7 linked regions of the Callithrix jacchus genome follow. The protein of the gene in region 1 interacts with the protein of each later gene in a pairwise test. Links are inferred from orthologs where the notes say so. Each region holds a gene or a part of one and is shown in the gene's direction. Other genes may lie near its edges. The genes, in order: XIAP, SSX2IP, ERCC3, RFC5, PPIH, NEK6 and CASP10.

Region 1 (3,500 bases):
AGGGCTCCTAAAAAGTAAATAGATGCCTTTAGCCCCCTGAACTGGTAAATATTTAGGTATAATTTGGCATGATTATACCTATATTCATCTTATTCTGTGAACTCTTATGTTGAACCTGTAACGTAACTACTGAACTTATGTGAAAAAGACTACCATATTATGAGTCACATTTCTCTTCATGTAATTGTTTTTAGGAAGTAATAACATGCAAAAGATGGTAGACATCTCCAATAACAAAATGGGTCCAATAAAATACTTTGATTTATTGAGCACCTATTATATGTGCACAGTATGTATACTTCATGCATTTTCTCTAAGCTTCACAATTTTTTTTTCTTTTCTTTTTCTTTTTTTCCTTTCCTTTTCCCTCCCTCCCTTCCTTTCTTTCCTCCCCTCCCCTCCCCTCTCCTCCCCTCCTCTCCCCTCCCCTCTCCTCTCCTTCCCTCCCCTCCCCTCCCCTCTTCTCTCCTCCCCTCCCTTCTCTTCTTTGGGATTTCACCAAGACCAGGATGGTCTCAATCTCCTGACCTCATGATCTGCCCATCTCGGCCTTCCATGGTGCTTGGATTACATGCATGAGCTACCACACCTAGCCCATAATAACTTTAATAATTTTTTTTTTTGAGACGGATTGTTAGTCTTGTTGCCCAGACTGGACCACCTGGCCCACAATAACTTTAATAACTTTTTTTTTGAGGTGGAGTTTCACTCTTGTCCAGACTGGAGTGTAATAGCACAGTTTCAGCTTACTGCAACCTCTGCCTCCCAGGTTCAAGCAATTCTCTTGCCTCAGCCTCCCGAGTAGCTGGGATTATAGGCATGCACCAACACGCCCGGCTAATTTTGTATTTTTAGTAGAGACAGGATTTCTCCTTGTTGGTCAGGCTGGTCTCAAACTCCCCACCTCAGGTGATGCGCTGGCCTCAGCCTACCAAAATGCTGGGATTATAGGCGTGAGCCACTGCACCTGGCACTTTTTTTTTTTTTTGAGACAGAGTCTCACTCCATTACCTAAACTGAAGTGCAGTGGCATGATCTTGGCTTACTGCAACCTCTGCCTCCTGGGTTCAAGCTATTATTGTGCCTCAGCCTCCTGAGTAGCTGGAATTACAGGCACATACCACTGCACCTGTATAATTTTTGTGTTTTTTAATAGGGACAGTGTTTTACCATGTTGGCCAGGCTGGTCTCAAACTCCCGACTTCAAGTGATCTGCCCACCTCAGCCTCCCAAAGTGTTGGAATTTCAGGCGTGAGCTACCATGCTTATCTTCCCAATAACTTTATTTATTTATTTATTTTTTTGAGATGGAGTATCACTCTGTCACCAGGCTGGAGTGCAGGGCGCAATCTCGGTTCTCTGCAACCTCCCGCTCCTGGGTTCAAGCAATACTCCTGCCTCAGTCTCCCAATTAACTGGGACTGCAGATGCGAGCCACCACACCCAGCTGTTTTGTATTTTTAGTAGAGACAGGGTTTCACCATGTTGATCAGGATGGTCTTGATCTCTTGACTTGGTGATCTGCCCACCTTAGCCTCCCAAAGTGCTGGGATTACAGGTGTGAGCCACCGTGCCTGGCCCACAATAACTTTATAAAAAGAGCTAACATTAGAGAGTTTAGTTTGGCTCATGCTGTAGTAAAATTGACATCTGCCTTTAGTACACAAAGTATATATATGGAAGCTGCCTTGTATTATGCTTGGTGCTTCATATGAGTGCTTTTCAAATGAACTATGGTAGACATGCCAGGAAGGGTCATTGGTGTAATTGCTTCTAAAGATATTTTTAAAAATTATGCCATTATATATTTGACCCATTTATTTTAAGATTGAATAATTCCTATAAAATATTGGTTATTTCAAAAGATTTTTATTTATGTACCATTATATAGTAATCTTGAAGGTTTGTTTAGTGTCATGTGGCTATAAACTTAGGGAAACTTATCTCATAATTCCATTATGTAGAACTTTAATGTTACTAACACTTGGAAAATAACTTGTTTTAAAGTTTCACAGTTTGAAACAGTAGGTACAATATTGGTGGCCCAAATAACATACTAAAAAGAAAGTATGCTGGGTGCAGTGGCTCACGCCTATAATCCCAGCGCTTTGGGAGACCAAGGTAGGCGGATCATTTGAGGTCAGGAATTCGAGATCAGACTGGCCAGCATGGTAAAACCCCGTTTTTACCAAAAATATAGAAAATCAGCCGGGTGTGGTTGTGCATGCCTGTAATCCCAGCTACTTGGGAGGCTGAGGTAGGAAAATCACTTAAACTCAGGAGGTGGAGGTTGTAGTGAGCTGAGACTGTGCCATTACACTCCAGTCTGGGCAGCAGAGCAAGACTCAGTCTCAAAAAAAAAAAAAAAAAAAAAGAAAGTCGCAATCTTAATTTTGACATAAAACTTGGACAGTTTTATTTTTGTTCTGTAAAAATACCTCAGATTGAATCAGTGAATTTAGTATTTCTTCCTCAAATGATAGAGATTGTAAGTGTTACTTAGATGTGAATTTGAATGTCTTGTTTTAAGCTGTGAGATTTTCATGTTTTTTAGATGTGCTTAATTTTTAGGTGTTAACTGAATATTTTTGTGTAAGCTTCTAGTCGCACAAATACATATATTCTTGTATGTTTTCTTAGGTGACAGTGATAAAGTAAAGTGCTTTCACTGTGGAGGAGGGCTAACTGATTGGAAGCCCAGTGAAGACCCTTGGGAACAACATGCTAAATGGTATCCAGGGTAAGATACTCAATTATTCATTCATTCACAGGCAAATTGGATAGCATGCAGTGGGAGACTTGAATTACTTTTTGCCTCAACGATTTCTGCCTTCACTATGGCTTGAAATTCATGCCAGATTTATAAAAATGAGGAAAAAACCCACCTAAGCCTTCTCTGATGACCAAAACATCCACTGCTTATGTATCACCAAAACATCCACTGCTTATGTATCATATCTATGACATTCAAATTATCCCATTTATTTTTTATTTTATTTATTTACTTTTTGAGACAGAGTCTCACTCTGTTGCCCAGGCTGGAATGCAGCGGCACAGTCTAGGCTCACTGCAACTTCCGCTTGTTGGGTTTAAGCAATTCTCTTGCCTCCGCCTCCCAAGTAGCTGGGATTACAGGCACCCACCACCATGCCTGGCTAATTTTTGTATTTTTAGTAGAGACAGGGTTTCACCATGTTGGCCAGGCTGGTCTCGAACTCCTGACCTCAGGTTATTGGCCCGCCTCAGCCTCCCAAAGTGCTGGGATTACAGTTGTTAGCCACCGTGCCTCGCCAGATTATCCCATTTTTTTTTTTTAGTTTTTATTTTTGAGACGAAGTTTTGCTCTTGTCGCCCAGGCTGGAATGCAGTGGCCTGATCGTGGTTCACTGCAACCTCCGCCCCTTGTGCCTCAGCCTCCTGAGTAACTGGGATTACAGGTACCTGCCACCACGCCCAGCTAATTTTTGTATTTTTTAGCAGAGACGGGGTTTCACCATGTT
Region 2 (3,500 bases), on another chromosome or scaffold:
TGCATAAGTTCACATAGTATAGATTAAAAAGTAAAGAAACACAAAAGTAGAGCTTTACAATACAGTTTTGCTGGCCCAATATAAATAAGAGACACAAGAAGTGTGTGGATTTATTTATTGAAGAGTGATTTCCAAGTGACTATAGGCAGTCCTCTAACCTATATTATACCATGACACCCCTAAACTGTCTTACCTTAGATTTGAAAAACAGTTGATGAGCGTACATTTCAGGCTGTCATGTCATAGACTGCCTGCTGTCAGCAAGCAGTTTAGTGTTGACTACATCACTGTCATTCTACAGCAGAGCTGTTGCAGGCATCTGAATACTTCATCTTTTAAATTATTGAAAAATAGAAATCAAGATTCAGTAATATGCAGTTAAGATTGGAAATCTTTAGATATCCTGAGTTAATCTTACTCGTTAGGACAATCACTGGTTTTTAAGGTTAGTTAACCTCATGTTCATTCATGAAGGGAAAAAGATTAAAAAGGAGGACGAAATGCTGAAGGTATGAAATGTAACATAGAGAAGTTTGTTAAGGATTTAGTTCTGGAAACAGAGCTCTTACAGTATAGGGGTCTTGCTGTTTCCTGGTCCAATTATAAGTGATAGTTTCATAATGATTTTATTAACTCTAAGATTACAGTAACTCACTCTTCTTATGCCACATGCTTCCATGGCCACCTGCAGCAGAAGATATTACTGCTGTCAGGAGCTTTGACTCCTTTGATGAAGATGATGATGTTAACAGGGCATGGCAAACTTTTTCTTTAGAGGTCCATATAGTAAATATTTTCAGCTTTGTGGGATCTACAACTTGTTGAACCTGCTTATCTGCCATTGTAGCGGGAAAAGTAGCCATTGGCAATATGTAAGCAAGTGGATGTGGCTGTGTTTCCATAAAGCTTTATTTATCAAATCAGTCAGCCAGCCTGCTGGCTATTACCAGCCAACCTCAATAATAAAATTAATAAGGATAAAGTACTTACTGTGTGCCAGATATTGTGTTTACCTCTACTGTTAGGTGCTTTAACATTTGCCTTCACTCTTTGGTAGATACTTTTGTTATTCCCAGTGTCCAAGAAGAAAGAGGCTTAGCAGTTAAATAACGTGCCAAGATATCATTGCTTACAAGTGATGGAATTAGAAACTCAAAAATTAGGCTGTTTGAGCCCAAACCCTAACTTATATACCAGGTTCACTTACACCACTTTTATGCATATAGAATGCATTAGAGTTTTAGACACTTAAGCACGTATGGTAAGAATTAATTTTGTGTGTTCGCGTTTGTAGCTATGGACATTTTGAATTATGTTGGTAGAGCTGATGGAAAAAGAGGCTCCTGGAGGACTGGTAAAACTGAAGCCAGGTAAAGTCCAGTTTAAATTGACAAATGTAATCAGACTTCCTTCTATACTACATTTTTATACTGACAAGTTTCCTTCTCAGGAATGAAGATGAAATGTATAAAATTCTCTTGAATGATTATGAATATCGTCAGAAACAAATCCTAATGGAAAATGCTGAACTTAAGAAGGTTCTTCAGCAGATGAAAAAGGAAATGATTTCTCTTCTTTCTCCCCAAAAGAAGAAACCCAGGGAAAGAGTAGATGATAGTACAGGAACTGTAAGTGACTCTTTCCTCTCTGATATAATCTTCAGATTGCTAATATGAATAATTCTCAATGGAGACACTATTGGTATTTTGAATAGGACACTCACTGCTATGCTACTTTCAGTTACTGTGACAACCAAAAAGACTGTTCCTGTGTTTTCAGACATACCCTGGAAAATGCTGGAGATGATTTTCCAAGGAATTAATACATGTCAAGCACTGTAAGAAGTGTTTTATAAGCATTATCTCATTTTTAAAATATTCTTTGTAATACATGAGATTATTTCAAATGTTATAATTTGATGATTTAGATACTACAAATATTCCCATTTTAGAGATAAGGAAACTAAGGTGTAATACTTAGTAGCCCAGTATCACACATGACAGTGCTAGAATTTGAGTCCAAGTTTGTCTCACTCCAAAGCTCACCATCATAACCACTATGTCAAATAACCTTTCAATTGTTTTAGTATTGTGTACTCTACTTTCCAGAGAGTGAAACTTTTGTTAACTTTGGGAACCAAATAATCAGTTTATAAATTTATCGAATGTCCTTTATGTTTTAGTCTCTGGAAGGGAAAAACTAAAAAGATTTTGACTTTCTCCCTCAAGAAGCTCTTTTTGGGAGAGACAGATGTGAAGAAGTGATTATTACATGTGTCAGGTGCTGGAATAGGGTAGAACAAAGTGCAGAAAAGAACAGTTATGGCAATCAGTCCATCACAGAAAAAGTGACATTTTCACTGCTTCTTAGAACATAAATATTTTTGAGGTTAAAAATAAAACGTGGAGAAAGTATTCCATAGAAAGGCAGTAATATATATGCAGAGATCTGAAAAAACATCACATAATGGTGAAAAGTTTATTTTACTTAATTGCTTTGCATATAAGTTAAAATTGTAGGTTTCAGCAAGTTGACAGTGATTAAAATCTGAAAATAGTGTTGATAGAAAACACTAGTTAACAGCAAGGCACCACAACTTGTTTTTTAAACCTGTATATTTGAGGATTATTTATTTTGTTGTATCACAAATCAGTCCAGCTGATAAGCCCATTTCACCACTTACTTTTTTTCTCCTTAACATTTTTTTATTATTACTTGAATATTTTACATTCTCCACTTCGAGGTCTGCTTGTCCTCTTATATGTAATCTTTTCTCTCAAACTCTGTCACTTCTAGTCAGTTCTTAACATTCACTAATAACTCTTCAAGGTTAGTATAGTATCTGTTACTCCTGCAGCATCTTCAGTTTTTGGTCCAGCCTTAACCTCTTATCACCAGATTTCAGTCAGCATTTCAGTATATAGTAAATCAGGGGTGATCTTTCTCAGATGATTAAACCCTCTTCACTGCCATTACTCAGCCAGTGGGTAGTATCATGTATAATTCTTCATAGTTCAAATGTTTAAGTGGACAAACAATAATCTCTTAAATATCTTTTTAAAAGATCCATTTTTCTAGCTCCATTTTCTCTTTAATTTTTGTAGGGAAAGATTTTTGAAGCATTATAGCAAGAGAAATGAGATGTAATGTTGGAATGCCTAGGTAGCATCCCAGTTTCATTTATTATTTGACTGACTTACCTGTAACTAAAACATATACCAAAAATTCAGGTTAGGTGAGTTTGTTGTTTTGTTTTTTGGTTTTTTAGAGGCAGGGTCTTGATGTGTTGCCCAGGCTGGTCTTGAACTCCTGGGCTTAAACAGTCATCCCACCTTGGCCTCACGAAGTGTTGGGATTACAGGTGTGAGCCACTGTGCCTGGCCGAATTTTTAAATTTTCACTTTGTGGTTACAGAATTCAATCTGAGAAATGTGCGATAATTATTTTACTTCTTTTTTTGAAATAAATGGAGTCTCGCTCTGTCACCAGGCTGGAGTGCA
Region 3 (4,064 bases), on another chromosome or scaffold:
CTGAGTCTAGCACCTTTTAAAGGTTTGATAGGAAACATTTATCATCTATTATTTCTCAGGGTGGTCACCTATGTGACTTCATCTACATTAAGCTTGCCTGACCCGTGACCCACATGTGGCCCAACACAAATTTCTTAAAACATTGAGTTTTTCTTGCAATTTCTTTTCTTTTTTCTTTTTTTTAGCTCATCAGCTATCTTGGTGTTAGTGTATTTTATATGTGGCCTAAGACAATTCTTTTTCTAATGTGACCCACGGAAGCCAAATGATTGGACGTGACACCCCTGATTGAGATAATAAGAACCTTGATCTCCCAGACATTCCTTTCAATTGGTTTCAGGTTTTTTGATAGTAAGTCTTTTTTTTTTTTTTTTTTTTTTTTTTTTTTTTGCAGAAAATGATCTATTTAGGCAGAGAAAGAAAGAAAGAAAAGAGAGATCGAGCTCCCACGTTGCGGTGGGAGGGGATCCAGAGATGGAGTCTGCACAGAGAAGGAAGGACAGCTCCCACACTGTTGTGGGAGGGGTAAGTCTTTCAAGGAATTGCCTATTAGAAAAATCTTTTAATCCACCTATGACCTACCTGAAGCAACCCCGCCCCCCACCTTGGGCACATGGTCTCAGGATCTCTTGAGACTGTGCCTCTTGCCATGGTAGCTCATCTTCGGCTCAGAGTAAGTACTTCATAGAGTTTGATTCTTTTTGTGGACGCTTTCTGACCAGTTATAACGAGCTTCCATGTAACGTTGATGCTGCCCCCTCTCCTCCACCACTCGCTCCCCTTTCCTCTCAAACACCCGACACACTGGGCCTCAGGTGTGTGGTGTGTGGTGTCTGCGTTCCCGACTGCTGCTCCTCGGATGGCATTTACATGGGACAGCGTCTCACTTTCCTCGGACTTTTGCTCAAAGACCGTCACCAACAGAGAGCGATTCCCTGACCACTCCATTCAACATGGCACTGCCCTCACTCAGGCCCTGTTTGAGTCTTCCTCAAAGCACTTATCACATTTTTGCGCACATCGCTTCATTAGAATTTACGTTCAAGGAGATGAGGCCTTTAACTCGCGCACTGCGCATGTTCTCAACACACAGTATTTTCCTTCAGCATTAGAGTAATGAATGGTGGAGGACGCCCGCGGCAGGCACACTGATAATCGCTAAGCCGCCGCCGGCTCTACGCTCATCCCGCCCTGCCAACACAGCGCTGAGAGGCGGAATTTCCTGTGTGGACCTCAAGAAGCTTCCGGAGTGAGCCGGAAGTCCACTTGAGAGCGGAAGTAGCGGCAGGCTTGCGGTAGTGGTTCCATCTTCACTCTGTTGCCGTAGCTGCCATGGGCAAAAGAGACCGGGCAGATCGCGGTGAGACGTGACGCGGGCGCGCTCAGCCCCGACTGCCCTCGCTGACTCTGCCCCGGCTCTGCTTTGGAGCTGCTCTGGGCTTACCCGCGCCGGCCGACCCCGCTGGCCCTGCCGCGCGCGCAACCGGTTGCGACAGGCCGCTGGGCAGAAGAGATGCTGGACCTGGGCGCAGCCCAGAGAACTCGGCCGAGGGGAGGCGGGTGAGGGGCGCAACGCCTGCGGGATGCAGGTGGCTCTTAGCTAGGAGTTTGCGCCGGCGCAGGTGAAATGCTGCCAGACAGTGCGGAGGGAACCCTAGGCTCCTTCTGGGCTTACTTCTGTGTTGGTATCTTGCAGACAAGAAGAAATCCAGGAAGCGGCACTATGAGGATGAAGAGGATGATGAAGAGGACGCCCCTGGGAACGACCCTCAGGAAGCGGTTCCCTCCGCGGCGGGGAAGCAGGTGGATGAGTCCGGCACCAAAGTGGATGAATATGGAGCTAAGGACTACAGGCTGCAGATGCCGCTGAAGGACGACCACACCTCCAGGCCCCTCTGGGTGGTAAGGATGCCCTTAGCTTGGGCGGGGCCCAACAGTGTGCGGAGCGGCATTCTCAGAGTCAAAACTCACATTCGGGTTACTGCCCCCAGAACCGGTTGGGAAAGAACTTTAATTTACACATGTTGGAACAGCTCAAGACATCAGCGAGCAGTTGTGCACACGTGTGCCGGCCGGACCTGGGCCTCCTCCAGTTCTAACCCCTCAGTTTACTCTCACTCCTTCCCCAGCCCTACCCCATGTAGTAAATACTTGTATCTGTGGAATAAATAGCATTTGTCATGTAACAATTTGTTTCCCCATCTGAAAAACTAATGGAAGACATGTTCGGTAGCAAGCTTTTGCTCTGCTTAAAATAATGTTCTACATTCAGTTGAAATCTAGCCAAAAGGTAACTTGAGGATAGCTAGTAAGATGGGCTTTCTCTGTGCAGAATAGAGGGAAACAGCTGCTGACTTTGGAAACATTTTCTTTTATTTTTCTTTACTCATCTGTATCTCATTAAAGTAACAGGTCCCACAGTTGTCTGAAGGAGTGCTTAGAAGAATATCTGTGGTGTTAGGCAGCTTATTCTTGATAAGGATATGGGCAAGAGTCCAGTAGTCCCTGCAACTCATGTTTCCTTGTCTGTTCTGTCCATTTGGTGTTTCTCAGGCTCCTGATGGCCATATCTTCTTGGAAGCCTTCTCTCCAGTTTACAAATATGCCCAAGACTTCTTGGTGGCTATTGCAGAGCCAGTGTGCCGACCAACGCATGTGCATGAGTACAAACTAACTGCCTACTCCCTGTATGCAGCTGTCAGTGTTGGGCTGCAAACCAGTGACATCACTGAGTACCTCAGGAAGCTCAGCAAGACTGGAGTCCCTGATGGAATTATGCAATTTATTAAGGCAAGTGGAAGCCGAGGCCAGCAATTCCACCTGCCTTACTAATGTAACAACGGGCATAGGTGCTCCATGTTGTCAGCCTGTGGCAGCCATGAGAATATGCCATTCACATTTCCTGTGGGGAGCATAACGACCAATTACCCCAGGTGCTACATTCTGGATTCAGCATTCTGTTCTGGGTGAGGCCATGCTTCTCATGAGCTGCTCCTAGCCATGGGTATTGACACAGAGGGGCTACTATTTCAGGCCCATTCTAGCCAGGGAGAATTTGGGAATGTAGCCCAAAGTGGGTGTGCTGGGGACTGAATTGTGTTCCTCAGATTCTGTCTTAAAAACCTAATACCCAATGGTAGTGTATTTGGAGTAAGCAGTTAAGACTAAATGAGGTCTTGATCCAATATGATTAGTATCCTTGTAGGAAAAGACACTGGAGGATACTTTCTCTCACCTGCCCTCCTTGTCATGTGATTAAATGGAAAGGAGGTCCATGGACAAGAGTCTTGACCAGTAACTGAATCAGCCAGTACCTTGATCATGGACTTTGAGCCTCGCAGCTCTGAAAAAATACAGTTCTAGTGTTGAAGCCACCTAGTCTGTGGAATTTTGTTATGTCATCTCAAGGTGACCAACACAGGTTGTAAACTCTATCTAAAGCTAAGTATCTGCAGGAGACCAGTAGTCAACAAGTTCTGTGAGGGAAAGTCAAAAACAACTTCAGATGTTGTTTTTTTGCAAAACAAAGAGGGTTCCATGTGATTAATAGTTGAACGTACTGGGTTTCTTCTGAGAGGTGGGTGAATGCCATTTAAAAGAGACAGTGGCTTTCATTGCCTTTGGCTATCTAAAGGGAGTCAGAGTCAGCCCTTGGGATCTGGAATCACAGAAGAGTGCTGCAGGAATTCAGTATGATACTGGACCCAGTCCCAGAGAAGCTGCAGGAGTCCTGGAGAGAGTTCTCTTTTCTTGTGATGTGAAAGGATGCCTGGCCAGGTGTGGTGGCTCTTGCCTGTAATCCCAACACTTTGGAAGGCTGAGGCAGGCGATCACCTGAGGTCAGGAGTTCAAACCAGCCTGGCCAACATGGCAAAATCCCGTGGCAAAATCCTACTAAAAACACAAAAATTAGCTGGGCATGGTAGTGGGCACCTGTAATCCCAGATACTCAGGTGAGATACCGAGGCAGGAGAATCACTTGAACCTGGGTGGCAGAGGTTGCAGTGAGCTGAGATAGCACCAGTGTACTCCAGCCTAGGCAACAGAACAAGACTCCGCCTCAA
Region 4 (3,984 bases), on another chromosome or scaffold:
GCAAGGAGTACTGCTACCTCCTAATCAAAACACTGCTGACCCCAGGCCAGCCTCGAAAATCCTCCAAAGATTTTTCTCTTCCTCATCACGTTAAAAAAAAAGAGAGAGACTTCAATATCGATGGTTTGCATGCTCATTGCTGGAAAATACAGACCAGGCCAGGCACGGGGGCTCACGCCTGTAACCCCAGCACTTTGGGAGGCTGAGGCAGGTGGATCACTTGACATCTGGAGTTTAAGACCAGCCTGTCCAAAATGGCGAATCCCATCTCTACTAAAAATACAAAAATTAGCTGGGCATAGTGGCACGTGCCTGCAGTCCCAGCTACTTGGGAGGCTGAGGCAGAGAATCGCTTGAACCTTGAGACAGAGGTTGCAGTGACCCAAAATTATGCCAGTGCACTCCAGCCGAGGTGACAGAGTGAGATTCAAAAAAAAAGAAAGAAAAGGAAAGATGGACCTACAAAAAAGAAGAAAATGAAAATGATCCAGAATCTTTTCGACTCAGAAAAAAAAAAAAAAAAAACTAAAATGTTGATTACGATTCTCCTCAGTATCTCAGATCGCAGAAACCCTGTCCTCTGTGTTCATGAACCAGATCCTTCCAGCGACACAGATGAACCCAACTGGAAGTTTCTGTTTGTTTTTCTCTGGAGTAGTTTTCCGGTGGTTGGTTCTCTAAATTTTGTTGGGTGAGGGGCACGGATTCCGGAGAGAGGTAGGTTGCAGTTATGTGTGTTTGGGGTTGTTTTCATTTCCAAATATTCACCCCACCCCCAGCTTTGGGGCCGAGAGGTATTGTGAGCCTTTTTCACAAGGGCATGTATATTCAAGATCCAGCCGTGTTACTCGGGTGCTGTTTTTTACTTAGAAAAATATTTTTTTTGAGCCCCGAAAGCTTTTGTTCGTTTGAACGTTAAGTGTTTGAAGTTTGGCTATGGCAGGAATTGGCTTTGGCCGTGAGATCTTAATAGGTGCTAATGACCAGGGCTACAGGGCGCCCTGCCTCTCCCGATCCCCTGCTCTGGAAGCGCCTAGGTATCTGAGAGCTCCGAGCAGGCTGGAGAGGTGGAGCTTGGAAGCTAGCTGGCGGCTGGCCCCTCTGGTAACCTAGCAACCGGCGCCCTGGCAACACTAGGAGGCGGGACCCAGGGAGGAAGTCGGAAACCGATGGCCACTTATCGCGAGAGTTGTTTTTGCGCGCGAACTCTGAGTGCAAGGGTCTCAGGGTCAGGTCGCGGCTGGTCGCTGTGCAGGCGCTTGAGTTACGCGACGATCTCAGCGGATCTGGTCGCCTTCGTCTCCCCGCCATGGAGACCTCAGCGCTCAAGCAGCAGGAGCAACCCGCGGCGGCCAAGATCAGGAACCTGCCCTGGTAGGAAGAGGCCAAGCGGCCGCGGTGGGCAGAGGGGGCCGGGCGGCCGCGCGGGGAGGCGGTGGCCGGGGTGGGCAGGTGACCGGACCCCAGCCCGATCTTGCCCCGCCGCTCCCGGGCCTGCAGTCGGGGCCGAGCCGCAGAGGTTTCCCCCGATGCCCCCCAGGTCCCCAGACTCGTCCGTTCTGTTTAGGACTTTTGCCAGCTCTTACCCTTTCACACCCAGCTCCATTTGCCGAAGAAGAAAGCGGCTTTCGCACCTGGTGACAGCACAGGGATTCGATCCTGCGTCCTCTGACACCTGCGTTGGCCTCCATGCCAAAATGTCCTCTTCCCACTCTTCAAAACCTGCGATGCGACTATTGGTCACATTTTAAACGAGTAATAACGCTCCCTGGTCAACTTTTATTGAATGGCGTATTGCTAGATTAGCAGACACCCTGTTAGATGTTCGATCCTTACAAAGACCCTAGGAGGTAGGCACCGCTTCAAATTTTACATAGGAGGAAACTGCATCTTAGAAAGGTTAAATGACTTGCCTATGGTCCAGGGCTAGAAAATAGGCTTGGAGGTGAATCTAGGAAGTCTGAATTCAGAGCTTGTACTGTTAACCATCCTACTTCAACAGCGATGTCCTAGCAGTGCTCTAAAGACTTTGATGCAATTTGGCTTGGTTTTGAAAGCTCCAAGTTGTCATTGTCTAGTAGCTAGTTCAATTTGCTTTTATTGTGGTTTTTTAAAAAAAAATCCCATAAGGTTGACAGTTGTAACTATTTTATGTATTTATTTTTTTAGAGACAGGGTCTTGCTCTGTTGCCCAGGCTGAAGCACAGTAGTGTGATCACAGTTCAGTCTAACCTCAAACATTGGGGTTCAAGCCATTCTCCTGCCTCAGCCTCCAGAGCACTGGAACTTTTAGAGGCGAGCTACCAAGCCCAGCACGTAATCATTTTAAAGTGTACAATTCAGTGGCATTAAGTACATTCAGAATGCAGTGTACTGTTGTGGAGTCCTCCCACTATCTAGTTCCAAAATTTCATCATCCCAAATGCAAATCCTGTACCCTTGACAGTCACTCCCCATTCTCCCCTTCCTCTAGCCCCTGGCAACCACTAATCTTTCTGTCTCTATGGATTTGCCTATTCTGGACATTGATGTAAGTGGAATCCTACATGATGTGGCCTTTTGTGTCTGGTTTCTTTCACTCGGCATCAGTTTTTCAAGGTTCATGCATGTTGCTGTTTGTATCAGTACTGCATTTCTTGTTACGGCTGAATCATAGTCCGTTGTATCGACAGAAGACATTTTACCTATCCATTCTTCTGTTGAAGGCTATTTGGGTATGAGTTCAGTTTCAAATGCACTTTGAAATAGTAGGTGCCCATCAGGTTGAGATTATAGGCAAACAGCTGGAAAGATGAGATAAGAACAGTTTTCAACCTCAGCACTATTGATATTTTGGGCCAAGATACTCTGGGTGGGTCTGGGGGAGCTGTCCTGTGCACTGTGGCATGTTTAACATTCCTAGAGACTATGCACTAAGTGCCTAGGACCCTCTGCCCACGTGTGACAGCTAAATATGTTTCACTAGATGTTCCTAGGAGGACGAAATCACCCTGGTTGAGAACCACTGTCTGTGTTCAAATTTAAAGTGCTTTTTCTTCCTTTTTAAATTAGGATATGAAAGGATTCTTTCTCTCTCTTTCTTTTTTTTTTTGAGACAGGGTCTCACTCACCCTGTCAACTAGGATGGAGTGCAGTGGTGTGATCCCAGTTCACTGTAACCTCTGCCTCCCAGGTTCAAGCGATTCTCCCACCTTAGCGTGCTGAGTAGCTGGGACTACAGGGACATGCCACCTTACCTGGCTAATTTTTGTATTTTTTTTCTTATTTTTTTATTGAATGGCGTATTATTAGGTTAGCAGATGCCCTGTTAGATGTTTGATCCGTACAGAGCCCCTAGGAGGTAGCTGTAGAGACAGGGTTTTGCCATGTTGGCCAGGCTGGTCTTGAACTCCTGACCTCAAATGATCTACCTGCCTCAGACTCCCAAAGTGCTGGGATTACAGATGTGAGCCACTGTGCCTGGCCTACAAGGATTTTTTTTTTTCCTGAGATGGAGTCTTACTCTGTGGCCCAGGCTGGAGTGCAATGGCGTGATATCAGCTCACTGCAGCCTCCACCTCCTGGGTTCAAGCAATTCTCCTGCCTCAGTCTTCTGAGTGGCTGGGATTACAGGTGTGCACCACCATGCCCGGTTAATTTTTATATTTTTAGTAGAGACGGGGTTTCACCATGTTGGTCAGGCTAGTCTTGAACTCCTGACCTCATGATCCACCCGCCTCAGCCTCCCAGAGTGTTGAGATTACAGGCGAGGCATCATGCCCAGCCAAGGATTCTTTTGCATATAAAATGTTCTTGCATTTATATGTCATAATACCTGCTAAATTGTATTTCAGGGTTGAGAAATACCGGCCACAGACCCTGAATGATCTCATTTCTCATCAGGACATTCTGAGTACCAGTAAGTATCCATGTGTCCGTTGCTCTTGTCCTGGTTGAAGGATCTGTATAAATTTCTTGGTGGTGATGTCTCTCCTAAGTAATAAC
Region 5 (4,179 bases), on another chromosome or scaffold:
CTTTAAATTGAGATACACTGGATTTTTTAATATTTTTTTCTTATTTTTGTTTTGTGTCTTTTCTTTATATACACTGGTTTTTATATGCAATCCTTGCTTCCTCAGAGGACAGAGCTAGAAAAAATGATCAAAGGACATAGGAAATAATAACTATTAAATGCATGCTGTTATTTGAATGAGCCTTGCCCAAGGTCCCCGTCTTTCACTGAATTCTTTGAATATATTATATTTATTGAATATCTAGTACGTGCTATTCAGTAGGAGACATTGCAGCTACACTGTGAACAGGACCAGGAGTCTCTACTTTCATGGAATTTACATACTATTAGGGAGGAAGATATATGTGTGTGTGGCAGGAAGTGAGGTGTAGACACATACCATACAAAGATAATGTGGAATCGGGGGTAGCATGAAGAAAACAAACCAGTGATCTGAATGACCAAGGGCTACTTTAGATTAGGTTTAATGTTGCCTCTGAGAAGATAACATCTGGGCCGAGCCCTGAACTATAAAAACATTACTTCCCACAGGCATACCGCAACCAACCAACCAACACCCGCTCCCCCCGCCCTCCTCCGCTAAACCACATTAAGATCTGGAAGGAATATTTCAGACAGAGGTAACAGCTATTACAAGGCCCTAAAGAGAGGAGGGATCTCAGTGACCTAGAGGAACAGACCGGCCAGAGCACAGTAATTAAGGGCAAGTGGCACAAGATGAGGTCAGGTAGATGACAGCTAGATAAATGCACTGTAGGGCTTTGTATGTAAGGAATTGAATTTTATTCTGAATATAGGAAGCCAGGAGTGATTTATAAGCACAAGAGTTATTCTGAAAATAAAAAACTCTATTTGCTCTGTGGGAAATGAATTGGAAATGACAAAACTGGAAGCTTGTGGCAGAACTGAAACATAATCTATTGTACTGACTTCGAGGAAGGAATAAGTATTCACCTAGCAAGCATTTGCGTGCCAACCTGTTCTAAACGGTGAGGATGAACCAGAGTTCCTGCCTTCACGGTGTGCACACACTAGCGGCAGAAGACAAGACACAGCACGTGTGGCTGTGCAGAGGGCTTGGCTGCAAGAGCTGATAAGGAGAACCCCGGGAACTGCCTAATTCAAAAGCCCTTAATACAGCCACGTGAGTGGGGTGACCATTGACCTTAACCAAAAAGATGTCAAGGTTTTCCTCCTCCTCACTCTAGCGTCCCCAGTCTCAGGGGGAGTCTCTCAGCTCAACCCCAGCACCCTCAGCACAAACCGCGAGGAGAGACAGCTTCCGGGGGCGGGGCCTGGTCTTGTTCCGCGTCTACCGCGCCTGCTCCACGGACGAAACCCGCGGACTGGGCTTTAGGGTTGCCGGAATCCCACGCTCCCGACTTCTGCTTCCGGGTCACAGCCATGGCGGTGGCAAATTCAAGCCCTGTTAACCCCGTGGTGTTCTTTGATGTCAGCATTGGCGGTCAGGTGAGATCCAGGAGGCTGCCCACACCTGCGCCGAAGGGAAACTGCTCGGGGCTAGGCAGGCAGAACTCACCCAGAGAGAGCGGACTCGGGAAGCCAGAAAGTGAAATTGCACCCGAACTTACCTGCCGGGAGGGGGAGGAAAGGAGGAGGATGAGTCTCCCCAATCCTAGCGCCCTGTTTCTGGAGAGATTGGGCGGAACGAAAGGTTAGGCCAGGGAGGTGGAGGTGGGAGATAACGAGCGGCAGGGTGGTGGGTCAGTCCATTATGCCCCCTGATCATGGTTGAAGCCCTCATGGTCTTTGACTAGGCCTTCTGACAGTCTCCCGCTGATTGCAGGAAGTTGGCCGCATGAAGATCGAGCTCTTTGCAGACGTTGTGCCTAAGACGGCCGAGAACTTTAGGTAAGGACGTGCTCCACCTCTGCTGGATTAATTGAGGCAGAAGCCGAGCCCCAGTCGGCCGCCTGAATAGCCTGTCTACATCTGTTCGTCCGCTCACTGCTCTTGAGATGTGATTCCTCCGCGCATTGCTCTGTCTGAATGGTTGCCGTTTTGATTGTTCCCGAGTCAATTTATGTTGTTAGTCTGTATGTCTGCGTGTCTGAACGTCTGGCTGGCCGATTGGTGGACTTGCTGGCTCCAGTGTTTATTCTTTCCCGTCTTTAGAGGAGCTCACAACTGTGATGTCACAGTGATTGAATCGTTCACTTTTTGTCTCTTTCAGGCAGTTCTGCACCGGAGAATTCAGGTCAGTTTCAGACGTGTTTGACTTCTTTGATTGCTCCAGAGGGGTGTCCTGGGCTGCAGTGAGGGTACGGGGAACCACCTGCTGGCCTTGAATGATTGCTGGTGACAGTGATAGAAGGTAATACCCCAAGGGTCTATCCCTAGTTGGTTTGCCTTCTTTATGTCTGTTAACCCTGTTTAGGAGAGTCCTTTTGGCTCCAGTGCATGGTAGATTGGAAGGGCCTTGTGCTACCTGCTATCACTCTAATTCTCTTTCTTTTTGATTATAGAAAAGATGGGGTTCCAATAGGATACAAAGGAAGCACCTTCCACAGGTAAGGCTTTTTGGCAAGCCATCCTGGAGTCTTTCAGAAGTACTTCCTGGGGGATTAGGCTCTAATAAAATAAAATTTAAAAAGGAAAATAAAACCAGAGGGTAATTCTTACATTTCTTGAGAAGAAATGGTTCTGTGGACTCAACAACTGAAGATTTATTAAATGTTCTAACTCTACTTATACTTCTCCACTTCTTTTTATGTCTTTAAAACAGAAACTACTTATCTTTACAATATCCTGTCCGTTTCATGCACCTGTTTGTACTAATGCAGATTTTTTAAAAAATACAGTTGTAATCCTAAAGTGCATATAATATATCCTGCTGGTTGATATTTATAATTCCTAAAATTATCATGTACGATTGTCCAAAGATAATCATATTTCCTGGGGAGTGGAGTATAGCAACACTGAGTCTCATTTCAATATACAATCTTTCTCATGGTCTCACTGTGGTTAGTAACAACATTAGCATGTAATTATATCACAGCTTTAAAGCTGTGGGTCACTAATCCCCAGTAAGACTCCTTTGAAGTGGGAGGTGTTATCTGTATTCCACAGAGGAGAAAACAGGATAAGAAAGGTTAAGGGCCCTCCTTAGGGGTAATAGCTAACCACTGTTAAGCCCTGACACGTGTAGCAGTCCATTTCACATAAATTCTCTGTAGTTCTTTCCCGCAAATTTACATTAAGCCCTTGATCTGCCAGGCAAGTACTGTGGTCATTCTTCCTGCAGGCTTTTAGCCCCTTCTTCATGTTACTGTTCAGGCACCAGATCATGTACTTGACCAATTCTAACATGCCCTAATTTGTAACTAAAATCCTTTTTTATGGTTAATTATCCTTTCAGCTTAATCATTCCAGGAAAAGAAAAATCTTTTTTTTTTTTGAGGCAGAGTCCCACTCTGTCACCCAGGCTGGAGTGCAGTGGCATGATCTTGGCTTACTGCAACCTCTGCCTCCTGGGTTCAAGCAATTCTCCTGCCTCAGCCTCCTGAGTAGCTGGGGCTACAGGCATGCACCACCATGCCTGGCTAATTTTTGTATTTTTAGTAGAGAAGAGGTTTCGCCATGTTGGCCAGGCTGGTCTTGAACTTCTGGCCTCATGTGATCTGCCTGCCTTGGCCTTCCAAATTGCTGGGATTACAGGTGTAAGCCTCTGTGCCCGGCTAAGAATAATCATTTTATAAGCCAAAGTGATAGTGTTTTTTGAAATCAATGTTAATCTAATATAATAATGACAAAGTCTATGTGTTTCTAAACCATAAAATCTTCTCTCAGTATTCTTTGCTCTCTGTTTCAGGGTCATAAAGGATTTCATGATTCAGGGTGGAGATTTTGTTAATGTAAGTATTATTCCTTTCCAATCAAAGACCTACAGTTTTAGTTTTTGTTGTTATTGTTACAGCTGCTGTTTTAACTATAGTGACCCAGTCTTAAGGCCTAATGACAATAGCCAAGTTTAATGGGGGTGTTGATCACCCCACAGATACCTACAGGGCCTGAGAACAATAGCCAAGTTTGATGAGAATGGTGATAGGGAACTTCTTGAAAGTGGCTGGGTACCATGGACTCTACATAACAGACTTTAGCACTTTGATTGGGACATTAACTTCCATGGTCCAAATCTCAGCCTTTTTGAGCCAGAAAT
Region 6 (4,243 bases), on another chromosome or scaffold:
GAAGGCAGGCACCACCACACCCAGCTAATTCTTAAATTATTTTGTAGACATGGGATCTTGCTATATTGTCCAGGCTGGTCTCAAACTCCTGGCCTCAAGCCATCCTCCCACCTCAGCCTCCCAAAGCACTGGGATTATAGGTGTGAGCCACCATGCCAGCCTGAAATTTCTTTTTTTTTAATTTGTGGAGATGGAGTCTCGCTCTGTCACCCAGGCTAGAGTACAGTAGCAGAATCTCAGCTCACTGCAACTTCAGCCACCCAGGTTCAAGCAATTCTGTCTCAGCCTCCCAAGTAGCTGGGATTACAGGTGGCCGCCACCTTGCCCAGCTAGTTTTTATATTTTTTTAATAGAGACGGGGTTTCACCGTGTTGGCCAGCCTGGTCTCGAACTCCTGACCTCTGGTGATGCACCTGCCTTGCCCTCCCAAAGTGCTAGGATTACAGACGTGAGCCACCACACCTGGCTTGAAATTTCATTTCTAGGCCTCATTAAACCCATCTGTAAAATGGGCACAAGGGTAAGGTTGGTACACACGGTGGACGTTCAGTTGGTGTCATTATTATAGAACATGGCCAGTCCAAGAACCTCCACTCATTTGGCAAACAGAAGCCCTACAGGCATTCACCCTGTGCCCAGTACAGCACCGTGCCCAAGCTGGGTGTATAGCAGGCAGTCAGTGCCCCTGGCTGCAGCCCTCCTGGGATGCAGCACAGTTTTGAATGTGGAGGGGAGGCAGCAGGGGTAGAAACCAGGAGTGGCCACTCTCGGTGCAAGGAGGAGGCGAAGTGAGAACTGAGCTGCTGCCTTTTGGTCCCATGGAGACTCTGACTTCTAAAGGGGGCGTTCAGCATTCTTTAGAGGGGACATTTACTACTTCCAGAAACCTTTGCACATTGGCTCTTGCTGGTCCCTGGGGCCACAGGAAGTGAGAGCTCCAGATGGAGAGTCGCTGGCACTTTAAGGGCGGCGGGGAGGGGGGGCTTCCCCACATGGGAATACTCTTGGAGCCTAATTCAGTGCCTGCATTCAGCTGGTGCACAATAAGTGCTTGTTACTATGCCAAGTTCAGTCTGACTAGGACTGTGGCAGGAGCAATGCTAGGCGATGGAGGATTCGATGATGCACGGGAGGAGTCCCAGGGTCGGCTGACTGCAGACCCTCATCCTAAGTCTAGAGCCCGGGAAGAGGGGAATACACCGGCCTGCGCCCTGTGAGTCTGGGCCTCAGTTTTCCCATCTCTAAAATGGGAAAGGGGGTCCTTGGCGGAGAGGATTGCTTGCCGTCCGCAGGACTTAGAGGAGTCGAGGGGTCCAGGCCCAGAGAGGACGCCGCCGGGGGGGCCCCCGCCCCTCAAGCCTGCGTGGCGGCAGCGCGCACGAGCGCAGGGGGCGGCGCGGCCCCGCGGCGGGGAGGGGCGGGCGCGCGCGCGCGGGCGCGCGCAGGCGACGGCGGCGGCGGAACCAAGCAGACGGGCGTGCGGCCGCAGCGCCGCCAACTCTTGTGGGACGCACCGCTCCGGCCGCTCGCGGGCCCGCGCGCCGGTCCCCCCGCGGCAGCCGAGCCCGCCCGCTCACTGGTGAGTGGCCTGGGGCCGGGGCCGGGCCGGTGGGGCCCTGAGGGCTGGGATGGGGCGGGGGACGGGCGGCAGGGCCGTCACTCCCAGCCGGGCCGAGAGCGGGCGCGCGTCCGGGGCTCCGCAGGGAGAGCGGGAGGCGGGCGCGTGTGTGGCCGCGAGGGGCTGAGCGTGTCGGCGGCCGGGCGGGGGCGGCGTGTCCGCGTGTCCTGGGGTGTGCGCGTCGCCGGCGGGTGTGCGTGTGCACCCCGGAGCCTCTGGTGGCGTTGGGGTGAGTGCGTGGGGGGACGCGGGCATGGCTCCCCGCATCCCACTTCCCGAGTGGGGACGACAGGCCGAGGAGTGTGCCGGGCGCCGCAGGGAGTCCGTGCGGGTCTCAGGGAATGTGTATGAGCACGTGTGTGCATTCCAAAGTGATTTGTGTGCACGCATATGCCTGAGCCTAGGAGGGCGAAAGTGTGCCTGTGTGGGTGTGAGTGTAACGAATGTGTAGGACCGTACAGAGGTTGAGGGACCCCCTTTGCGCCCACCAGGCCTTTGCACAGTGATGGCCCCCAAGCCAGGGAGCCCATGGAGAGAGAAGCGGCCTGGCGTGGGCTGGGGGTCGGGGCTGGGCCTGATCTGGTGAACCAGAGGCCGGGAGGACAGACTCAGCCTGACTGGGCCTGACAGGCGGTTTCAGAGCCAGGTTACTGGCAGGACGCTCCCTACACACACAGGCTGGGCCAGCGAGGCCTTTGGGGGGCCCCTCGGCCTGGCACCCGAGGACGTGTGTTCAGTTTTCCTAAATACCCTTCCGGCTCCCCTGCCTTTGTTCTTGGTTCTCTCTACAGCCAGGCCTGGGGGGCTGACCCCAGACTTATCTGTGTATGTGGGGGCCTCTCTGCCTGCCCTACTAAGTAGATGGATCCTCTGATTTATTTATACCTCGCCTGGGCTCCAAGTGTGAATCCCAGGACAGTCACACATTGATCGCAGCGGGCTTGGGACACCAGCTTCCGAGGTCTGTCCTTGTAATTTTGACTGACAGGCTTTTGTGTGTGTGTGCGCGCTCTCCAACTGTTGAAAATCTTTGCAGCTGAAAGTCATAATTGCTTTAAGGCAAACTTTAGAAACTCTAGAACTCCCTAGTTGCTCTGGCTCTTGAAAATTCAGTTTGCCTTTTTGGGGGGAAAATGTCGTCTTAGTTTGGTGTACAGTACGTGCGGGCGGGTCTTGGAGGCACGTTTAAAAACCGTGTCCTTAATGGAAGAAGAATTTCATTGAAAGGGACGCAGAGCCGGCTGGAAGCGCCTGCCCCAGACTCAGTGAGTTTGAGTTTAGGGAGTGAACTTTGGACGTCCTCTTTTAGCAAACAAAACCTGGAAGGAAGCGAAAAAGACCCACATTCTTTTTCTTTTTGTCCTGAAAATGAGAAAAAACAAAAAAACAAAAAACCGCTTTCTGGGTTTGCTGGAAATGCCCCTTCTCCTTCCCCCATCAAGGCCAAGCCCTCCCTGCGTCCCCCACCCCCAAATAAAATATGCCTGTGGGGAGCCATGGAATGAGTCACTCCCTGGCAGAGAGCCTGACGGGCAAACATTTGGGAAGGTTCTTGCCTAACTTCCCAGAAGAAAAGGCCCAGGATTTAAAATGGTCCCTGTGGTTTGTCAGCCTATGCCATCCCGTCTGCTTCGGAAATGACTAAAAAGTACTTTCTATCTCCACAAAATGAAGTCTCAGACTGAAGGCCTCAGACCCAGGTTGGTCTGGATTTAGAGCTGTTTGGGTTTCCAGAAATGGAGCGCCTGGCTTTACCAGGTGGCATTTCTGGTGGGTTTGAACAGGGGCAGAGGAGGGGAAGGGGGAGGAAATTCCTGTTTGCGGCGCAGAAGGGGCTGTGTGCTGGGAGCCGTTCTGGGGAGTGTGACTATCCCAGTGGCCTTCTGCGGCAGAAAATGGCATTTGGTTTTGTGCACAAGGAAACTGAGGCACACAGGGGTCAAGCCTGTGTCCTGGGGCAGCTGAGAGGAAGTGAGGGCAGAATCCTAAGTCACCTGACCAACCTCACAGCCTTTCCTCTTTCCATTGCACCTGGAATATGATATGATAAGGATATGGATCTGATATTTGACTGGCTAAGGTGTGCAGACCTAGTGCTGAGTACTTTAACACACATCCATTCATTTTATTCTCTTTGTAGATGGGGGTTATTTTCTCCATTTTGCAAATGAGAAAACCGAAGTTCGGAGACGTGACTTGCATAGTTTCATTAAAGTAGCACCACGACAAATGGTCCCCATTTGTTCTTATTTATTTATATATTTTTTTGAGACAGAGTCTCACTCTGTTGCCCAGGCTGGAGTACAGTGGCACAATCTTCGCTCATTGCACCCTCTGCCTCCTGAGTTTAAGTAGTCCTCCTGCCTCAGCCTCCTGAGTAGCTGGGATTACAGGAGTGCCTCACCATGCTCTGATAATTTTTGTATTTTTAGTAGAGATAAGGTTTCACCATGTTGGCCAGGCCGCTCTCGAACTCCTGACCTCAGGTGATCCACCCGCCTCGGCCTCCCAAAGTGCTGGGATTACAGGTATGAGCCACTGTGTCCAGTTTTGTCCCCATTTGTTGAGGATATACTATGTGCTAGGTCTGGTGCTGTATTTCACCCAGTCCACCCCCCAGCACTG
Region 7 (3,500 bases), on another chromosome or scaffold:
TCGCCTTGACCTCCCAAAGTGCTGGGGTTGCAGGTGTGAGCCACTCCGCCCAGCCAGAAACTCATGTCTTGAAACATCCTACCAGGAGGAATACAAGGAGCTAAGATGTGATTCCAGAAGTAATTATGGAGATTCATTATACTTTCTAAAAGTTTATTAGATGCTTAGTACATCACACACACACATTTAAATGGGACCTGGACATTAGTTTAAGAATACCACTCTGGCAAATACTAGCAGCAAAGGTCTGAAAGCTCTTGTTCTGTTTCTTTGCTAAAGAGTTAGTAGGTTCAGGTGTGGTTTCCTTTAGACTCAGTATTCTATGCTGATTGCTATGCTGAGAACGGATTTCCTGACAGTTGTTAGATCTCTCAGGATGTGTGTAGGCCAGCTATGCTGGTTATGTTTCTGTGAAAGCTCTCAAAGAGAAATCCCAGAATCCCTTACAAAGGCAAGGTTATTTGTATTCTCCCCGAGAGACCACATGAATTTAGAACCTTTCTGTTTTGGCTGAGGGGTGTTCAGGCCCTCTTCCAACGGCGGGTAAGTAATCTATTACTTACTATTAAAAATACAAAAATTTTTATTTTTGTATTTCTCTGCTAAAAATACAAAAATTAGCTGGGTGTGATGGCACGTGCCTACAATCCCAGCTACTCAGGAGGCTGAGGCAGAGGAATCGCTTGAACTCTGGAGGTAGAGGTTGCAGTGAGCCGAGATTTCACTATTGCACTCCAGCCTGGGCAACAGACTGAGATTCTGTCTCAAATAAAAGAAAATAATAAAATAAAAAAAAATGCTCATCAAATTGTGATTTTTTTTTTTTTTTTTTTGAGACAGAGTCTTGCTCTGTTACCAGGCTGGAGTGCAGTGATGCAATCTCTGCTCACTGCAACCTCTGCAATTCTCCTTCCTCAGCCTCCCAAGTAGCTCAAACTACAGGCACCCGCCACCATGCCTGGCTAATTTCTGTATTTTTAGTAAAGATGGGGTTTACACCATGTTGGCCAGGCTGGTCTCAAATTTCTGATCTCGTGATTCGCTCACCTTGGCCTCCCAAAGTGCTGGGATTACAGGTGTGAGCCACTGCACCCGGCCCAAATTGTGATTTTTTTTTTTTTTTTAGAGAATTCCTTTTCTTTTAAAACACCAAATTTAAAATTCTTTCAGAACATTTCCCCCTCATTTCTTTGGTGTTCCTCTTTTGCTGGTTCCCTAATCAGTATCACTTAAAGCAGTGAGTTAGAGTTCAGTGGTTAATGAGATAGACTGTGGCATCAGATTGTATCAGTTCTGCCATTTATTAGCTTTGTGACTTTGAGCAAGTTACTGGAACCTCTTTGTGCCTCAATTATTTCATCTTTAACATGAGGATTATAATAGTATCTACTCATTCAGTTGTTGTAATGTTAATATACAGCAAGCATGGCTCCTGTTGTATAATTCTATATATTTGGTACCTGGTATTAATATAGATTGTATACATATTTGCTTGGTAATGCCTCTTCCTCTACACTCCTGAGCAATGTGAGGGCAGATGCTGTCGTATCTTATTTATCAGTGCAAAACCTAGTGCCTCGTGGCCATGCAGGTAACATTTGAGTGAGTGGATAATCAGTAGGGAAGGAAGTGTAATTCTATTGATTCTCTTGTAGACCTCTCTAGGGTTACTGGCATTTCTAGAGAAACAACATAAAATAGATGAAGATAATCTGACAGTCCTGGAGGACCTCTGCGAAAAGGTTGTACCTAACCTTTTGAGAAACATAGAGAAATATAAAAGAGAGAAAGGTAAGTAGCTTGTGCTTGCTAACTTGCACAAGACCATGGACATTCTTAACCCAGTTGGCCTTGCATGATTTTTTTTGTTTGGGGTTTTTTTTTTTTTTGAGACAGAGTCTCACTTACTCTTCCACCCAGGCTGGAGTGCAGTGGTGCGATGTCGGCTCACTGAAACCTCCGCCTCCCAGGTTCAAGTGATTCTTCTGCCTCAGCCTCCTGAGTAGCTGGGATTACAGGCACCTGGCACCACACCTGGCTAATTTTTGTATTTTTAGTAGAGACAGGGTTTCACCACGTTGGCCAGGCTTGTCTCCAACTGCTGACATCAAGTGATCCACCCGCCTCAGCCTTTCAAAGTGCTGGGATTACAGGTGTGAGCCACTGCACCACGCCCGTGTGTGATGTTTACTCATCATTCTGGTAATATTCTACTAGAAAAGCCAGAAATCTTCCTTTTGTTCATATTGAATTCATTAGTTGAGGTCATATTTTGTACCAGGCACTGTTTTAGAAGTTGAGGATGGCCGGGCGTGGTGGCTCATGCCTGTAATCCCAGCACTTTGGGAGGTCAAGGCGGGCAGATTGCCTGAGCTCAGGAGTTCGAAACCAGCCTGGGCAACACAGTGAAACCCAATTTTTACTAAAAAAAATACAAAAAAATAGCAGAGCATGGCGGTGTGTGCCTGTAATCCCAGTTACTTGGGAGGCTGAGGCAAGAGAATTGCTTGAACCCAGGAGGCAGAGGTTGCAGTGAGCCGAAATTACACCACTGCACTCCAGCCTGGGCAACAGACTTAGACTCAGTCTCAAAAAAAAAAAAAGAAGTTGGGGATATAGCAAAGTACAGAGCAAAGCTCCTGCCCTCTTGGAACTTACATTTCAGTGCAGGGAAATAGTTTTAGACAAACATCTTTTTCTGATTCTAATATGGGAGTGAGAGTGTATGAAATTGTTTTAAATGAAATGACATAAAAAAGAAGGCAGGATAGCCTGGGGTGAGAGTGGAGTCTATAGTGAGGTTGCCAGGACTCCGCTTATTCGTGGTGCAGTGGTACTTTTTTGGCTTTTCTGTTTCACTTTTCCCATGTGTAAAGTGGGCATAATAATAGTACCCACATCATAGGTTTTTGTGAGGATTGAATGAGATAATTTCTGTAAAATGCTTGTCTGGCATGGAATAAGCATTCAATACATGTGACTATTGTTACTGAGAGATAAGTAATGAAGACTTCACATTCTCAGAAACGACTATCAAAGAAGAACTTTATTATTATTATTATTTTTTATTTTTTAGACAGAGTCTCACTCTGTCACCCAGGCTGGGTTGTAGTGGGGCAATCTCAGCTCACTGCAACCTCCACCTCCCGGGTTCAAGCAATGCTCCTGCCTCAGGCTCCTAAGTAGCTGGGATTACAGGCAGGCACCACCATGCCCGGCTAATTTTTGCATTTTTAGTAGAGATGGGGTTTCACCATGTTAGCCAGGCTGGTCTTTAACTCCTGACCTCGTGATCTGCCCATCTTGGCCTCCCAAAGTGCTGGGATTACAGGCGTGAGCCAACTCACCCAGATTTTTTTTTTTTTTTAAGTCTGTCTGATAAAGGTAGTTCTGCTGTGATATTTTATATAGGACAGAAGTCAAACCTGGCTGCCTCACCATGTGTCAATATGCTAAATATCTATGTTTTTCCGAGTCCACTTCTCCACTGTTAAACAAGA

Evidence for each region.
Region 2: the proteins of XIAP (region 1) and SSX2IP interact in binary tests that used the Homo sapiens proteins (3 or more experiments, as listed by UniProt). The two-hybrid records come from large-scale screens. The link is inferred for Callithrix jacchus from reciprocal best matches to the Homo sapiens genes XIAP and SSX2IP.
Region 3: the proteins of XIAP (region 1) and ERCC3 interact in binary tests that used the Homo sapiens proteins (3 or more experiments, as listed by UniProt). The two-hybrid records come from large-scale screens. The link is inferred for Callithrix jacchus from reciprocal best matches to the Homo sapiens genes XIAP and ERCC3.
Region 4: the proteins of XIAP (region 1) and RFC5 interact in binary tests that used the Homo sapiens proteins (3 or more experiments, as listed by UniProt). The link is inferred for Callithrix jacchus from reciprocal best matches to the Homo sapiens genes XIAP and RFC5.
Region 5: the proteins of XIAP (region 1) and PPIH interact in binary tests that used the Homo sapiens proteins (3 or more experiments, as listed by UniProt). The two-hybrid records come from large-scale screens. The link is inferred for Callithrix jacchus from reciprocal best matches to the Homo sapiens genes XIAP and PPIH.
Region 6: the proteins of XIAP (region 1) and NEK6 interact in binary tests that used the Homo sapiens proteins (3 or more experiments, as listed by UniProt). The two-hybrid records come from large-scale screens. The link is inferred for Callithrix jacchus from reciprocal best matches to the Homo sapiens genes XIAP and NEK6.
Region 7: the proteins of XIAP (region 1) and CASP10 interact in binary tests that used the Homo sapiens proteins (3 or more experiments, as listed by UniProt). The two-hybrid records come from large-scale screens. The link is inferred for Callithrix jacchus from reciprocal best matches to the Homo sapiens genes XIAP and CASP10.

Annotation. Positions count from the first base shown.
Region 1 is NC_133524.1:119,628,224-119,631,723, forward strand, and holds part of XIAP (E3 ubiquitin-protein ligase XIAP), read left to right. Parts: intron 1-2,640; coding exon 2,641-2,740; intron 2,741-3,500.
Region 2 is NC_133508.1:121,877,399-121,880,898, reverse strand, and holds part of SSX2IP (afadin- and alpha-actinin-binding protein), read left to right. Parts: intron 1-1,294; coding exon 1,295-1,370; intron 1,371-1,450; coding exon 1,451-1,628; intron 1,629-3,500. UniProt on the Homo sapiens protein: Belongs to an adhesion system, which plays a role in the organization of homotypic, interneuronal and heterotypic cell-cell adherens junctions (AJs).
Region 3 is NC_133507.1:37,182,580-37,186,643, forward strand, and holds the start of ERCC3 (general transcription and DNA repair factor IIH helicase/translocase subunit XPB), read left to right. Parts: upstream 1-1,264; 5' UTR 1,265-1,332; coding exon 1,333-1,360; exon of another isoform or gene 1,361-1,560; intron 1,561-1,696; coding exon 1,697-1,902; intron 1,903-2,553; coding exon 2,554-2,790; intron 2,791-4,064. UniProt on the Homo sapiens protein: ATP-dependent 3'-5' DNA helicase/translocase. Binds dsDNA rather than ssDNA, unzipping it in a translocase rather than classical helicase activity. Component of the general transcription and DNA repair factor IIH (TFIIH) core complex.
Region 4 is NC_133510.1:121,071,747-121,075,730, forward strand, and holds the start of RFC5 (replication factor C subunit 5), read left to right. Parts: upstream 1-1,184; 5' UTR 1,185-1,309; coding exon 1,310-1,374; intron 1,375-1,586; exon of another isoform or gene 1,587-1,717; intron 1,718-3,833; coding exon 3,834-3,898; intron 3,899-3,984. UniProt on the Homo sapiens protein: Subunit of the replication factor C (RFC) complex which acts during elongation of primed DNA templates by DNA polymerases delta and epsilon, and is necessary for ATP-dependent loading of proliferating cell nuclear antigen (PCNA) onto primed DNA.
Region 5 is NC_133508.1:79,296,039-79,300,217, forward strand, and holds the start of PPIH (peptidyl-prolyl cis-trans isomerase H), read left to right. Parts: upstream 1-1,379; 5' UTR 1,380-1,403; coding exon 1,404-1,469; intron 1,470-1,534; exon of another isoform or gene 1,535-1,723; intron 1,724-1,777; exon of another isoform or gene 1,778-1,806; coding exon 1,807-1,871; intron 1,872-2,193; coding exon 2,194-2,217; exon of another isoform or gene 2,218-2,308; coding exon of another isoform or gene 2,309-2,334; intron 2,335-2,485; coding exon 2,486-2,530; intron 2,531-3,831; coding exon 3,832-3,874; intron 3,875-4,179. UniProt on the Homo sapiens protein: PPIase that catalyzes the cis-trans isomerization of proline imidic peptide bonds in oligopeptides and may therefore assist protein folding. Participates in pre-mRNA splicing.
Region 6 is NC_133502.1:172,878,106-172,882,348, forward strand, and holds the start of NEK6 (serine/threonine-protein kinase Nek6), read left to right. Parts: upstream 1-1,443; 5' UTR 1,444-1,579; intron 1,580-1,701; exon of another isoform or gene 1,702-1,847; intron 1,848-3,198; exon of another isoform or gene 3,199-3,318; intron 3,319-4,243. UniProt on the Homo sapiens protein: Protein kinase which plays an important role in mitotic cell cycle progression. Required for chromosome segregation at metaphase-anaphase transition, robust mitotic spindle formation and cytokinesis.
Region 7 is NC_133507.1:122,282,010-122,285,509, forward strand, and holds part of CASP10 (caspase-10), read left to right. Parts: intron 1-1,655; coding exon 1,656-1,791; intron 1,792-3,500. UniProt on the Homo sapiens protein: Involved in the activation cascade of caspases responsible for apoptosis execution. Recruited to both Fas- and TNFR-1 receptors in a FADD dependent manner. May participate in the granzyme B apoptotic pathways.